Linked DNA regions of Oreochromis niloticus. The protein of the gene in region 1 purifies or fractionates together with the protein of each later gene. This does not show direct contact. Links are inferred from orthologs where the notes say so. Each region holds a gene or a part of one and is shown in the gene's direction. Other genes may lie near its edges.

Region 1 (7,512 bases):
TCCTGTGCAATTTCTCAACAAAAAGAGAAGAGGGGAAAGACCGAGCAGACTACATCTCACTTCTGAAAAAAGATCTCTGCACCTATTACAGCTACAACGAGTTCCTCATTGAAAAATTTATGGACCTATTCCCTCTTTCAGAGGTGTGTTTTCTTCCGTGCATTTTTTTTCCCCGTGTGTTTGTTTGTTTGTTTGTTTTGTCATTTGATTTAAAAGAATTCACAGATGCATTGATTTAAACATGCAAGGTCTAGCTGAGAATATCTTTTTGACTTCAAACATTATATTTTCATTCTGCCTTACAGCTGGTTGATTTCCTCGAGGCCAATGAAATTCATAGACCTGTCACTATTCGAACCAATACACTGAAAACAAGGAGGCGGGACCTTGCACAGGTAGGTGCCTGATCTTAAGAGACATGGACTAAATTTGCATTAGAGTATTTTAACAAGTTAAAATGCATAATGTATGTCATGCCTGTTAGCTATTTTGTAGTTTATTGCTTTAAAGAGTGTATCTGTTGTGATATAGAATTGTTTTTGTTGAACAAAAACTTGGCAACCAGGCCGAAGAATTCTGTACTTAGGTTAGCATTTTCAGAAGAAAGGTGCAGTATATTTGGATGGGAATAAAAGTAAAATCTATAGAATATTACATGTATATTATATGTATTAATGGATTTACTGTTGATTATGGAGTTAAGATGCAAAGTCTCACAAGCCTAAAAAGCAGTCAGTGACATCTGCCAATGTGATCAGGGAGAAATGTGCATCCCCTGCCTGGCTGATACTTGCTGGATGTTGGTTGCTAAAATCTTTTGCACAGAGGGCGCGGCGTCATAAGCCTCCTATTGAGGGCTGTGGTCACCCTTATTGTGGGAGGGGCCAACTTCTCAAACACTTGCCAAGTGGTTATAAAACTTGGAAAAAGTGTGACGCAAACTGGAGACATTCACCCTCAGATTAAAAGCTGTGCCTTACAGCTCCATCTAGCCCATTTTAAAATGTGCAGCTTTTCTCTTTGAGGGCAAACGCTCCCTGTTCCTGGTTTGCGTTGCACTTTTCATACATTCACTAGCGCTTGGCAAGTCAGCACGTTCCATACAAATTATGGGCAATCTGCTAGTGAGCAAAGTAAACACAAGATTTTTTTTTTTTTTTGGTGCCACAGCTTATTCAACTTTGCAGCCGATTTCACGCAGCAACTGCCAGCAACCACTCGCCAACCAATCTGACTGGTCTCTAGACACATAACTGGGAGCTAACAGGAAAAACTACTTGCATGTCAGGAGGAAACTCAAGTCTTTACATATTGAATTCACTGGTTTGTGCTTTTCCTTGTTTAGGCTTTAATCAACAGAGGAGTGAACCTTGATCCACTGGGGAAATGGTCTAAAGTGGGTTTGGTTATCTATGACTCCTCAGTACCTGTAGGTAGGTTTCAATACAGTCATGTCAGTGACCAACTTAAGCAAATAAGGATGCTCACTGGGGAATATCTGAGTATGACTACAGCTCTAACTCCGATTCTTTACATGTTAACTAGGTGCAACTCCGGAGTATCTGGCCGGTCATTATATGCTCCAAGGAGCCTCCAGCTTTCTGCCAGTCATGGCGCTGTCTCCACAGGAGGGAGAGTTGGTGTTGGACATGAGCTCAGCTCCAGGAGGAAAGACTACCTATATTGGTAAGATGTGTTGCCTTTATTGCAAATTATGTTGTTATTTCACCCTTAAAAATCGTGGAGTCCTTATGCAGTTGTTCTCACCCTTAGCTCAGCTGATGAGAAACACAGGGGTAATAGTGGCTAATGATGCCAATGCTGAAAGACTGAAGAGTGTGGTGGGAAACATCCACCGTCTGGGGGTCACCAACACTGTGGTCTGCAACTACGACGGCAGAGAGTTCCCGAAGGTATCCTGTCTAAATGTGTAGATAAGCAATATCTGTGGGATTAAGCCTTATTAGAGTTTTAATGTTCTGACCTGTTGAAATTCTGCTTTAAGGTAATGGGTGGGTTTGATAGGGTGCTGCTTGATGCACCTTGCTCAGGCACAGGAGTCATTGCTAAAGATCCAGCTGTGAAGACAAGCAAGGTAAAACCAAAAAAGAAACTTTTTCTGTCTTTATACACATGTCTGTTTGCTTTAAGTAGTGTGCTAATACTTGTTTCTTTTTGCCCTTCTGTTCACTGACAGGATGAGGTGGATATCAATCGCTGTGCTCACTTGCAGAAAGAATTGATTCTGTCTGCCATCGACTCGGTCAATGCGGATTCCCCATCGGGAGGATATCTGGTCTACTGCACGTGCTCAATAACTGTATGTGGAAACTCTGAATTTCTACCACATTTATGTACAAACATAGTAAATATCAGATGAGCTTGGTAAGTGATTGTATTATTTTCAACTAGGTGGAAGAGAATGAATGGGTGGTGGACTACGCTTTAAAGAAAAGAAACGTCAAATTAGTTCCCACAGGACTCGACTTTGGCAAGGAAGGCTTTACCAAGTAAGTTGGATAACCAGTGAAAGTATTTTAGGAGCAAGTAAGAAACTGAATAAAACATGAATATTTTCCTTCTTTTAGTTTCAAAAAGTTCAGATTTCATCCGACTCTGCGACTCACGCGACGATTTTACCCTCACTCCCACAACATGGACGGATTCTTTGTGGCCAAGCTGAAGAAGTTCTCCAACATAATTCCAACTGCACCACCAGGGAATGGTAAGAGCTTTTGTCATAGCTTCATGCCCACGTTGATTATGATATTTTCCCTGTTTATCACTAACTAAACATCTGTCTCTGTTGCTGTTGTAGAAGATGAGAAGGCAGAGGCTCCTGAGACGACAGCGGCCACAGAAGCTCCTGAAGAGAAAAGGTCCAAGAGCGACAAGACAAAGAAGACTGTCCTCAACAAGGCAGGCAGCCTGAAGCAAGAAAACAAAGCCAATGGAACTGTAGTCACAAAAAAGGCAAACATCAACTCACAAGGCAAAAAGGAGTTGCATACTGGATCAAAAAAGGCAAAAGTCGCCAAGATGGATGGAGAAACTGTGAAGGGCACAGAAGCCAGGAAGACAACAGATGATGGTAAAGCATCAAAAGCTGACACAAAGGAAGGAACCAGGTTTGAGAAAAAGCAGGCCAAAAAGAGGAAAACACCCATGAAGGCCAAGAACAGAATGGGAAAGAATAAATTCAACAAGTTGAAGCACATGTTGCAAAAACAAAACGCAGAGTGACAGTGTGTTAAATGCATGTTTGGATTTTTTTAAAGCTTTGTTACACACGTGGATCCACCTCTGTCTGATGAAGCTGTTCTGTTTGTGCAGCCAGTATGTGTCAAACGTGATTGTAACATGGCTGCGTGCTGATGATTGGACTCACAAACAATGCTCCTACTAAAGCTGGAGCTTTCTTTTTTATTTCTGTATACAGATTCAATGCTTTCCATAATTCTGTGAGAAATAAATCTTTTAAGAACACTTACTACTGACCTATGAATCATTCACACACAAAAAAGGCACGTAACTCAAAGGATGAACCAGTGTTGTGTCCAAACATGTCAAATTATTCCCAAAGAGCTTTTAGCTGAAAACTTGTTTATTTCAGCGCAATGTGCAGTGTGTCCTTAAAAAGAATTTGAGGAAATTGGAGAAATGGAGGAGTGGTGGGTATAAAAAAGACAATCTACAGCAGATGAACAGTGTTTAAAAGTAATTTTCTTAAAGAACTAACAAATCCAGCAAAGACTTGACACAGGACCTGAGAGGTCCTTCTGAATTCATCTAATGTTTCTTGAAGGGTCATCAGAAATCTCAGCAGTTCTTGACAGTCACCGTTCTGTTGTCTAAATCGAGGTATGGCAGGTTAGACAAGAACTGGAGTGAAAATCAGTGGAAACGGGTCTTTTAGACTTACAAATCCAAATCATCACCACTGATGTTTACATGTGTTCCAATAAATTGCTGCACCTATTTCACATTTTCAGAAAATATAAAGAAATTTCTTGTATATGTTTTGTAATTCACAAGGTCGTTTCATTTATTTATTGTCATTCAGTTACCTAAAAACGTTTATAGTTTTATTCTTTAGTTGAGATTAACTATAATAACCTTGCTAAAAATACATTTAAAATGGGGATTCTGACGATTTCTAAAAGGAGTGAAGTTATCCTATCATTTTAAATGATCTCGGACGCTCTTGCATACCTGTTAGTGTTTATTACCCATATGATAATTTGAATATTACACCTGTAATTGGCAGTACTTTGGTGGCTGTTGATTCTTCCTTCGGTGTTGTGTGCGCTCTGGAAATAACCAATCAGATCAGCTCTATCTCGGTCCGGAAGCTGTGTTGTTTACATTTTCCAAGATGGCGGCGGGAATGTATTTGGAGCATTATTTGGACAGTAAGTGAATTTGTACGTGCTTCTGATGCATTGAAAAACATCCTTAGTCGTTTTATAGTTTAATTTCTTTGTGTAGTGTATCTCCTGATCAGCTTCAGTGCGGAAGGGAGTGTTCTAACGGTTTCCTAATGGTCAGGGGTTTAGGCTCAGTCTATTTGCTGGAACAGCGCGTCGCACGGGAGCAAAGAAAGGCTCGTAAGCATTCTGTATTGCCACTACTGGCACAAGTTAAATGCAGTTAGCATTCATAGTCAGCTGTATTTGTGCCACTTGTTGTTTAATGGGGTGCTTGAGAATTTTAAAGCTTAACCGAAAAAGCATCACTTCAGACATTAGATTGAGCTAGCCAGTGTTGTTATTTCATTGTTTCGTGTTGATGTCTTAAAAATCTTTGTTCTCCTGCCTTCCTGCCACACCAGGCATAGAAAACCTGCCATTCGAGTTGCAGAGGAACTTTAATTTGATGAGGGATCTAGATCAACGCACAGAGGGTAAGCTCAGTGAACACGGATCTTCATTAACCCACAAAACACGGTACTTTATAATGGAGGTAAATGGGTTACCCCCACACAGGGACCCCAACGAAAGTCCGAGGAATCATTAGATTACTAACCAAAAAAAGCCTTGTTCTAAAAAAAACAACCCTAATTATTGTTATTATTGTTTTCTTCTTATTATCACCTGTATGTACTTTTATTTAGTGCTCTTAAATTGACCCAGCTCGCACCCTATCTCAATGTGTAATGAGGAGTCGCATAATAACATTTTTAAGTCATCTTGATTTATATATTACTTTTTAAACCCCAAAACAAATAAATGATCAACAACATTAAAACAAGAATAAGGAAATTAAATAAATACAAATGATAATAATAATAATAATAATAATGATAATAGTAGTAGTACAGAGTAAAAACAGTTAGGTGTGTTATTATGTATTTATATGTCCTAAGCAAAAACATTTTTAAAGGTTTGGTGTGGTGGTTAGTGCTGTCTACTTACAGCAAGTAGGTCCTGGGTTTAAATCCAGTTGAAGTCCTTCTGCCTGAAGTTTACATGTTCTCCCGGTACTTGTATGGGTTCTCTCCGGGTGCTTTGGCATCTTCCCACAGTTCAAAGACATGCATGGAATTAGATTAATTGGTGATTCTAAATTTGTTGTCTGTCTGTCAGTGTTAGCTGTGCAAATAGAAGGGCAAGCTGTGCAGGGTGTATCCTGCTTATGGCAGCTGGGATAGGCTCCAGCCACCCCAGCAACCAGAAACGGATAAGGAGAAGAAGATGAATGGATAGAACCCAAAAGTTGATGAACATTTTTGAAGCCTTAAGATCATAATTCACTGTTTTAGGTTGCTGGTTTTATGCCAGTTAAATAAGAAAACTGAATATCCAATTGTGTTATTTTAAAAAACATTTTGACTTATTTGTGTGAGGTATTAAAATTATATTCGTAATCACAGACAGCATTGTTTAGAAGTTCTTCTCATCTTTTTTAAAAAAAAATTATGATTATTATTATTTTTTTAGATCTTAAAGGCCAGATAGACTCTCTGGCTAAAGAATACACTGCCAACGCCCGGACTCTCTCCTCTGAGCAAAAGCTGTCCATACTGAGGCAGATCCAGCAGTCATACAGTAAATGCAAGGAGTTTGGAGATGATAAGGTGCAGCTGGCCATGCAGACCTATGAAATGGTTGGTATCTTAGAAAATAAACATATTTTAGACATGTTTATTAGAAGAAATAACTTTATAAATACACTGCCCTGTATTTGAGTAAGCATGGCCTGAATTTTGTGCAGGTGGATAAACACATCAGACGTCTGGACACGGATCTGGCTCGGTTTGAGGCTGACCTGAAGGAAAAGCAAATCGAGAGCACAGACTATGATTCCACCTCTAGTAAGGGGAAGAAAGGTGGGTTAACACTGTATTTGCCCCCAGTTTTTTATTTTGTTGAATTAGTTACGTGCTCAGTTAAGTAAATCCATACTCATTATAATGTATGTCTTGCATGCTTTTGTAATCCCAGGAGATTCCAGGCAAAAAGAGAAGAAGGCAGCTAAAACGAGGTCTAAAGTGAAGAGTTCAGATGAAGACGGCAGTCCTAAGAGTGCACAGAAGAAAGTGAAACTCCTTCAGCCGTATGTTGGGCACTGTTTAGTTTTTGATGGTCTCGTCATTGTTATTTCTTTTTCTCACACACAACATTTTTTAATCATCAGAGGAGAATTCAACAGCCCTTCTTCCAACTTTGGGAACGTGCACCCATCCGATGTGCTGGATATGCCAGTGGACCCCAACGAGCCCACCTACTGCCTATGTCATCAGGTCTCCTATGGCGAGATGATCGGCTGTGACAACACTGATGTGAGTTTTGTATTAAAATGCCCTCTTACACTCAATCAGAGGACACATGAGATCGGTATAGACACAAGTTTACATTTAATGTTGATGAATGTGTGTTGTCGTTTGAAAAGCTACATGGTTTAGAGCACAAGTCTTTAACAGAAAAAGAGCGCAAGTGTAGCAACCAAAATGTTTACACTGAAAACTATAGCAAATAATAAAGTCTTTGGTTGACTTTCTGTTAGGTATAAATCCTTTACAGACTTCAAATATTCACGTATTTTCTTGTTGTTCATCAATGTGAAGAGGCTCATTTGATATAAAATCAAGAAAATATGAAAATACTTCCCATCTGTATCACATGTTTTTTTGTTGTTGTTGTAGGTAAAAAAAAAACTGAGATAGCTGGGTTAGGCTCCAGCCCATTTGTGACCCTGAATTTGACAAACACTTAAGAAAATAAATGCATGGATATTACTTTAATCGATTTAATGAAGCAAATCAAAATTTAGGTAATTAAATACTATCAATGTATTTTGAGTTACAGGTACTTAAAGCACATAATAGTGGGCAGAAATTTTGCACATCTTTGTTTGCCTCATTTTTTTTTTCCCCCCAGTATTTTTCAGCCATCAAACGTCAGAAGAGCTGTAGCTAAACGAAAATGTTAGGGCTAAAAAACATTTAAGCTCTGTGAGAAACCTCAACCAAATCAATTTTATAACCCACTTCAAGTGTCATAATATGAAGAC
Region 2 (6,992 bases), on another chromosome or scaffold:
GGTAGAGCTTTATTATCAAAATACTGATTACAGCAGCTTTCGACTTATCTGAACCACAAAGCTGCTGTTCCTGCTCAGGACCTGCTCCATGATTAATGTGGACAAAATGGTTTATAGTGGCACATTTATCACAATAACCACAGAAAACATTTAAAAGATGGCGTGTGTAACTTTATGTTGTGTTTTCTGACTTGGAAAATTTAAAAAAAATGAAGTAAAAAGAGAATCTGGGTCCACAGCTGCACAAGGCCTTACAAAAAGAACATTTACAATCATATGTGCATTAATAACATAATAATAATATTTGATTTTTTTAAAACATTGTGAAAGACTCAGCTCCAATGCAACATGTGATACAGGGACTGAGTGATGCGTCCATTTGTCTTTTGGGTTAAACACCACCCTGCCTCATGCCCAGTCAGTCACATTGCTCACATACACAGTCACTCCACCCCTCCGCCTGCCCTCTGGCAGTTGGCAGAGTGGTGTCATCTCGAGCTCTCAGCTGTTACTGTGGCGTACCATTGGCTGGACCGGCAGCTGCTGGGGACTGTGCCAACACTTTCTTCTATATCACTTTAGAGCATCAAATCCACAAGGACAAAACATATGGCTTTTCAAGAATTCTGGCATTTGACCACCACCACCACCACAGTGGATAAATACTAATTATGATTCATTTCCGAAAACATCCAAACATTCCAAGGTCTGATTGGCCAACATAAACACGGAACTAGAGACTAAATTGGTGCAAACATTTAATTTTCATCTTATTCACTCTAAAAGTGCCGATCAAAGAATAGCAACAATCACAGTTCATCTGAGTGAAGATGTACGTATCTACAGTGCAGTCTGAGCTGGAAGCTTCACACAGGAACCCAGACTCTGGAGTCGTTGTAAAAGAAGGACTGCTTTGACAAGGGCTGTGGATTATATAAACCTGGAAGGAGAGAGAAAGTTTTACTTAATGCTTTCATGAATGCAATAACAACTACTTTGGCTGCTCCTTTATTCATAAGGGATTGCTCCACATGTTTGGTTTGGCAGATCTTTTTTTGTATCTCCTCCTGGGATCAAAGCTAGTTAGGCAAATGTGTAAACCACCAGTTTATTAAAGACGCCTTGTTTCAAACAGATTCAGTCAATTCCATTTTAATTATGTAACACCAAATCACAACAGTGGACACAAGATTCCTACAGTATTAGAAAGAAAGACCAAAAATCACACAAGCCCCCTATGAGGAAGCATTTGGTGACAGTGGAGAGGAAAAGCTTCCTTTTAACAGGAAGAAACCTCTGGTAGATCCCGGTTCAGGAAGGGGGAACCATCTGCCAAAACCATCTGTGAGTGAGGGGAAAGAGAAGAGAGCAAGTGAGGCAAACTATAGGCAAATTAATTCTCACCAGACTTTCGCATTTTTAAGAACCAAGCATCAAAAAGTAGAATGTAACCTAAACAAATGAAAAAGAAAGTTCTCATTCAAGCTTCTTTCCTGTCTGTACAGAAATATGTTTTTAATAGATGCAATAATACATGAAGACTACAGCAATGTTCTGAGCTAAGCAATGAGGTTAAAGACAAAAACTGAACCCGGGACAGATGCTGTATCCATGCATAATGAAAATATTGACTGAAATGTTGCAACAAAAAAATAAAAAAGCTTTTTAATATAAAATTAGACTATCCGAATGATCACTATTGTTAGGAAATGGTTGGCCACACAACAGCCACTCCGTGTACACAGAAAAGTTTCAATGGGCACCCGTTTTGCTGGATTAAAAAAAAAAATGCATGTGGTCTAGGAAAGATAGCTAACGTGTTAAATACAGCAGATTCAATCCAATATCACAATAACTGTACCGAGGAGCTTTCAGACTACAGAACGGCCAATGCCTGATCTGACTGTGCTGGATATCTATATTGCCATGTGCACCAGTGTTATTTAAGGCCCAGTAAATCAGAGATCAAATGCATGTGAGAAAACTGCCTCATTTATCTTATTACCTGGTCCTGGGATCTTATCAGCCATCGGTTTTTGGGGTATTCTTTGAGTTCTGGATGCAAAAGCAGCAGTGGGTATGGACTGCTTTGATGGCCGGTCATACTGCCCTATGTCATAGTGCCCAGGGCCCGGCAAAGGAGGATCCTTAGGTACAGTCTGAGGAGGTGCTGCTATTGCCAAAAAATATCTTCTCCTTCAAACACACATAAAACGATATAAACTTTAGATAATAAAAAAAAAAAGTAGCAAAACCTAAACATTGTATGGTTACTTACGGAAGGATGGTCTTCTTCACTGGGGTGGGTGCCTGATGGGGGTTGTAGGCCCCCGGGCCCGGCACACGGTGGTCGGCCGGAGGAAGGATTCTGTGAGTTTTTGATCTGAAGGGTGACGAGACCGCCTTTGAACCATGCTGGATTAAGCTGCTGTTCACCTCGTAGTGGCCTTTTAGAAGTTTTTTTTTAATTAAAAATTTAAGTGCAAATTTAATAAGAGGCTAAAAGAGACAAAACTTCAAAGCAGACCTGGTGATGGCACATTTTTGTTTGGGCAAAATGAATCCCGTGTTGTTCTTGAGAGGAAAGGCGCTGTACCAACCACTGAGGAGATGCTTACTCTCCTCACACAACTGACCTGTACAGAAAGAAAAAATGACACAAAATACACAACAGGATCTCAGAGATTACACCCTGAATCAGCTTTTATAATCAGCACACATACATCATACTGATTTGGAGCTGGAGTTATATGTTTGGGACCATCCATCTGCACAGCTATGGGCAGCCTGAAGACCCTGGAGGCTCCAGTGTTGAAGTCATATTTATTTATGAAGGAACTCTGTAGGTTGTATGCATTTGGGCCTGGAGTGGGTCTCTGTGGCCTTCTGTCAACCTGGAAGAGAGGATGAAGTGATGAAGACATTTAAAAGCAGCAGGGGATTAAAATTTATTAGACTAAAAGTAATCAGGTAAACTGAGTACTGGAGCCATAACTAACACTGACTTTAAGTTCTGTGTCATCTTCATTATAAGGCTCAAGGATGTTTTGTGGCTCCATACTTTTTTTTTGGTCACAAATTGCTCAGAAAAGGATACTTTGACATTAAAGGTTGCCATCTCCTGCCAGATTATTCAAATTAGGGTTGTAGTGAAGCTGAAGTCTGTTAACATAGGATGAATGGCAGGGTGTGTACACCAATCTAACAATGATAAGATAACTTTATTGTCTCCCATAGGAGAAAATCATCCTGGATCAGGCAATACATAAAAAGGCACACAGACAAAATCCACTAGCAATGATGCTGGGGGGAAAATAACTTACAGGGTAAGTAAGGATTTTTTTAAAGCCCTATTGGGGCAAAAAGTATGATTTAACAAAACAAAACTGATTTGACTCGTACAAATAATCAACAAGAATAAATGCCCAAAGGCGTTTCAAGATGATACATAGTGGACCTCCTGACCTTGGATGGGAAAAAGCCGGTGGTGCCTCTCTTTGAGAAGGAAGGACTGTTGACTTCAGTGCTGGTAAAGCAGTCGTAGGTTCCCGGTCCTGGACTTTCACTCTGACACACAAAGACCACACACGTTATTTATGCGGCACTGTTATTATTATTCTTTTAAAATGCTTTGAATTTTGATGGAGTTAAACTTCCTACCAGACTAATTTGAGAAGCAAACCTATTAGCCTGGGTGGAAAAGCCCTTCTTTTCCTGATGTGTTGTCATCGCTATTTGGTACTTAGCTTGTATTGAACATCTTTTACTAGCTACAAGATAAAAGAAACCATTATGTCACGTTTTCAGCTTAAGAATTTATAACTATTTCCACTTTGGACTCAGTCGAAGCCATCTGACGCTATTCGAGGTCCTTGGAATTTTAAAGCAGTTGCTATGGTGATGTGAAAACAGATCTATCGCGAGACTCCAGCGCCACCTGTCGGTGAAATGGAGGCGGGCTTCTTTATTGTACCTAGTCTCCCCTGTTTAGTGTCCACTTTAAGCGGCTATCCGTCATGGCGATGCATGCGAAGGCGACTCCGCCGCAGATCCCGGACACTCGCCGGGAGCTCGCTGAGCTCGTAAAGAGGAAACAAGAACTCGCCGTAAGTAGACGTTAAGGTGGTTTCGTTATAAAATAAACGTCGCATTTAGTATTTTACCGCGTGAAATTTTCTCGTGCGCGCTGCTAGCCGAGGCCCCGCTACATGCTAAACTAATGTTAGCCGGAGCTAGCGGTAGCGGCTCACTTAGTTAGCGGGTCGACAGCGTTGTTTGGCTGATAACGTTTGATTAAGAGTAGTGTTAGTAGTAACAAGACTCCATGCAGCTCTCTTAATATTTCTTTTAAGTGTTTTTACGTATACCGACTTTACAGCAGCGCTTTTGACAAAATATTCTAACAGCTTAGCGTAGCCAAATTTTAGCAGCCGCCCTGCTTGGCCAAGTTCTCGCGATAAGTTGGTGTCACATGTGTATTGTGTACATCCAGCCAGATACCTGTGATATTGTTGCCTCTCTGGCATGAGGAATAAATCAGCATTGCGACAGACATCGCTATCTTCACTTTTGCGCGCTCACTGAATTCTTCCTGCAAATGCAAGTGAATAATTAACACTTCAAAAGGGACATATTTTATTATCCTAATTTGTGTGTCTATAAATAAATGTCTGTTAAAAGTTTACCAGCCAGGTTGATTAATACAATGACTAAAACTCAGATATCTAACATTTATTCTTTTCCTTCACGTTCTTCACTGTCACAGGAGACATTGGTGAACTTGGAAAGACAAATATATGCATTTGAAGGCAGCTACCTAGAAGACACCCAGATGTATGGCAACATCATCAGAGGATGGGACAGATACCTCACCAACCAAAAGTAAGCAGCTTGGTGGAAATGCATTTACACTAAATGAAAAGTCAGCCATTGACTTGTATTAGTTACGTACAAGCCAGCAGGAGGAAGAAGAGTACAGCCGATGGCTGAAATCAAGTTCCAGTAAAATTATTAAGAAAAAAAAAAACTACATCTAGTTGATGTTGAAGCAGGACGTCCAACTTTTTTTTAAGTTAAAGTTGGGTGGGGGGGGGTCTGAAGAACTTTCTTTTCTTTTCATAAGGAAAAACTTAAAATAATTTAAAATACGCAATTTTTTCTTATTCCCAGTGTGGGCGTTTGGAACCACTTTTGGACCAAACCATTGTTTAATTTTTTTTTACATTTTTGTTTGCTTGTTTTAATTTAACAGGAACTCCAATAGTAAGACTGATAGACGGAATAGGAAATTCAAAGAAGCTGAGCGTTTATTCAGCAAGTCATCTGTTACATCAGTTGCAGTAAGTCTTTTGCTTATTATTTTAAACAGATATGCTGCATAATAACAAAAAGCACTTACTAAACTGTTCAATCTGTGACATTTTTACAGGCCGTTTGTGCACTCGGTGGTATACCAGATCACATGAATGAAAAGCGTGAGTTTTGCTTTTGAGCTAAGCAGCATTAAAAGTTTGTATTTTGTGGACTGGTGGTAATTTGTGTCATTTATGCTGTTGTTTTGATTTCTTCAGGTGAGGCAGGCAGCGGCACAGAAAGCGATGCCTCTCCAGATCTCCAGAACCAAGAAAACGAGCCCAGCCAGGAAGACACGGAGGATGTGGACTCGACGCTGCAGGACCTGAAGCCTCAGAAGGCTGCTTCCTCCTCCTCCTCAGGCAGCCACCACGGGAGCCACAAGAAGAGGAAGAACAAAAACAGACACAGGTATTAAATAAAGGAATGACGGTGGGGTCAGCATGCTGTTAAAATCTCCTTCCATTTTTTGATTGTCCATAGCCGTTCATGTAGACTGCTCTTGGCAAGCCACGTTACAGAACATGTTTGCACAAAATTTCTGTATACATCAAAGTTCCTACTAGTGACTAAACCCCCGTGGCTTCAATCAGAGACACCAGGGAGTCTATTTCTTATTTTACTGCCTGTACCTGCGAGAGCTCATTGAATTGCGTTGTTCACAGAGAGATCACAAAAAGTGATCTAGTATGGCTAGAATAAGTTTGCAACTTGGATTCCAGTAGCTCTTGTCTTGTTTTTTTGCTCCCTTTGTGTGTGAGTGTGTACACAGTGGGGGTTATTTAAAGGTATTTTGGGGGCAGGCCAGTATAAAAGGAGTATTTTCTCTTCCAGTAGACTATTAAATTTTCTCATGGTTGAATGAAGGAGCATTCTTCTGGACAGAAGAAGTATTCACACTTTGCGATCCTCAGCACTCACTGTAGTCTTTTCCTCGATGACAGATGTCACAGTTCAGGGAAAAACAAAAAATCAAAAAGGGGAAAAAGTAATAGCAGGGAAATGAATGCGATTGTTTTTTTTGTGTGTCTTTTGTTTTGTTTTTTACTGAACGTATCACTTTTTCCTCCTGTTTCAGCATCTCCCTCTGTTATCTGACACTTGCAGATCTGCTTGTACACTTGCATATCCAGCCCGAGTACACGCAAGCTGTGCTGGAGACACGAGAGTTGGTCGTAATTAGTGCACAACAAGCCAAAAAAAGATATTTTGGGTGTGCTGGTGTTCCCATGCATGACAAAAGCAATCATAAAGCAAAGAAAAAACCAAAGTCACGATATAGCACAGACTAACCAGTTGAGGCAGCAGTAGATGAATAACATGTTTTCCGAGATAAAATTGCTCCCTTTTTTGTTTTTGTTTTTTGTGACAACTTAACAGATGTCTTACAGCAGGTTAATTGAAGTGTTTGTGACATTTGAGCTTCTGCTTTCAGAGAGAATGGAGGGTATTGTTTTGGTATTCAGCCTAAAATATGTTGAGAGATTTCTGGTCCACATCACCAAGCTTTACAATCTCAGAATAACCTGGTTATTCTGAGATTATCGGAGGGTCAATAAATGACAAGTTTGTTAAGACAAATTAGGTTTAACGTGTCATGTCGACATGTTTTTTGTTGACTCGGGCCTCACTGTTTATGC

Evidence for each region. Proteins that work in one complex are often made in the same cells at the same time.
Region 2: the proteins of ing4 (region 1) and meaf6 purify together in Homo sapiens (affinity purification with mass spectrometry; 5 studies listed by BioGRID and IntAct, counting the BioPlex papers as one, with this or other methods). This does not show direct contact. The link is inferred for Oreochromis niloticus from reciprocal best matches to the Homo sapiens genes ING4 and MEAF6.

The regions. Positions count from the first base shown.
Region 1 is NC_031976.2:23,063,563-23,071,074, forward strand, and holds the start of ing4 (inhibitor of growth protein 4), read left to right. Parts: upstream 1-4,454; 5' UTR 4,455-4,540; coding exon 4,541-4,607; intron 4,608-4,831; coding exon 4,832-4,903; intron 4,904-5,939; coding exon 5,940-6,106; intron 6,107-6,213; coding exon 6,214-6,328; intron 6,329-6,443; coding exon 6,444-6,555; intron 6,556-6,636; coding exon 6,637-6,781; intron 6,782-7,512. Other genes in the region: nop2 (28S rRNA (cytosine(4447)-C(5))-methyltransferase), read left to right, coding at 1-143, 306-395, 1,346-1,433, 1,546-1,686, 1,774-1,913, 2,006-2,095, 2,198-2,320, 2,413-2,510 and 2 more.
Region 2 is NC_031985.2:13,858,634-13,865,625, forward strand, and holds the start of meaf6 (chromatin modification-related protein MEAF6), read left to right. Parts: upstream 1-3,966; 5' UTR 3,967-4,016; coding exon 4,017-4,106; exon of another isoform or gene 4,107-4,107; intron 4,108-4,765; coding exon 4,766-4,881; intron 4,882-5,251; coding exon 5,252-5,339; intron 5,340-5,428; coding exon 5,429-5,474; intron 5,475-5,570; coding exon 5,571-5,763; intron 5,764-6,992. Other genes in the region: stpg1 (O(6)-methylguanine-induced apoptosis 2), read right to left, coding at 1,236-1,342, 2,006-2,196, 2,279-2,447, 2,528-2,636, 2,724-2,894, 3,466-3,567, 3,661-3,729.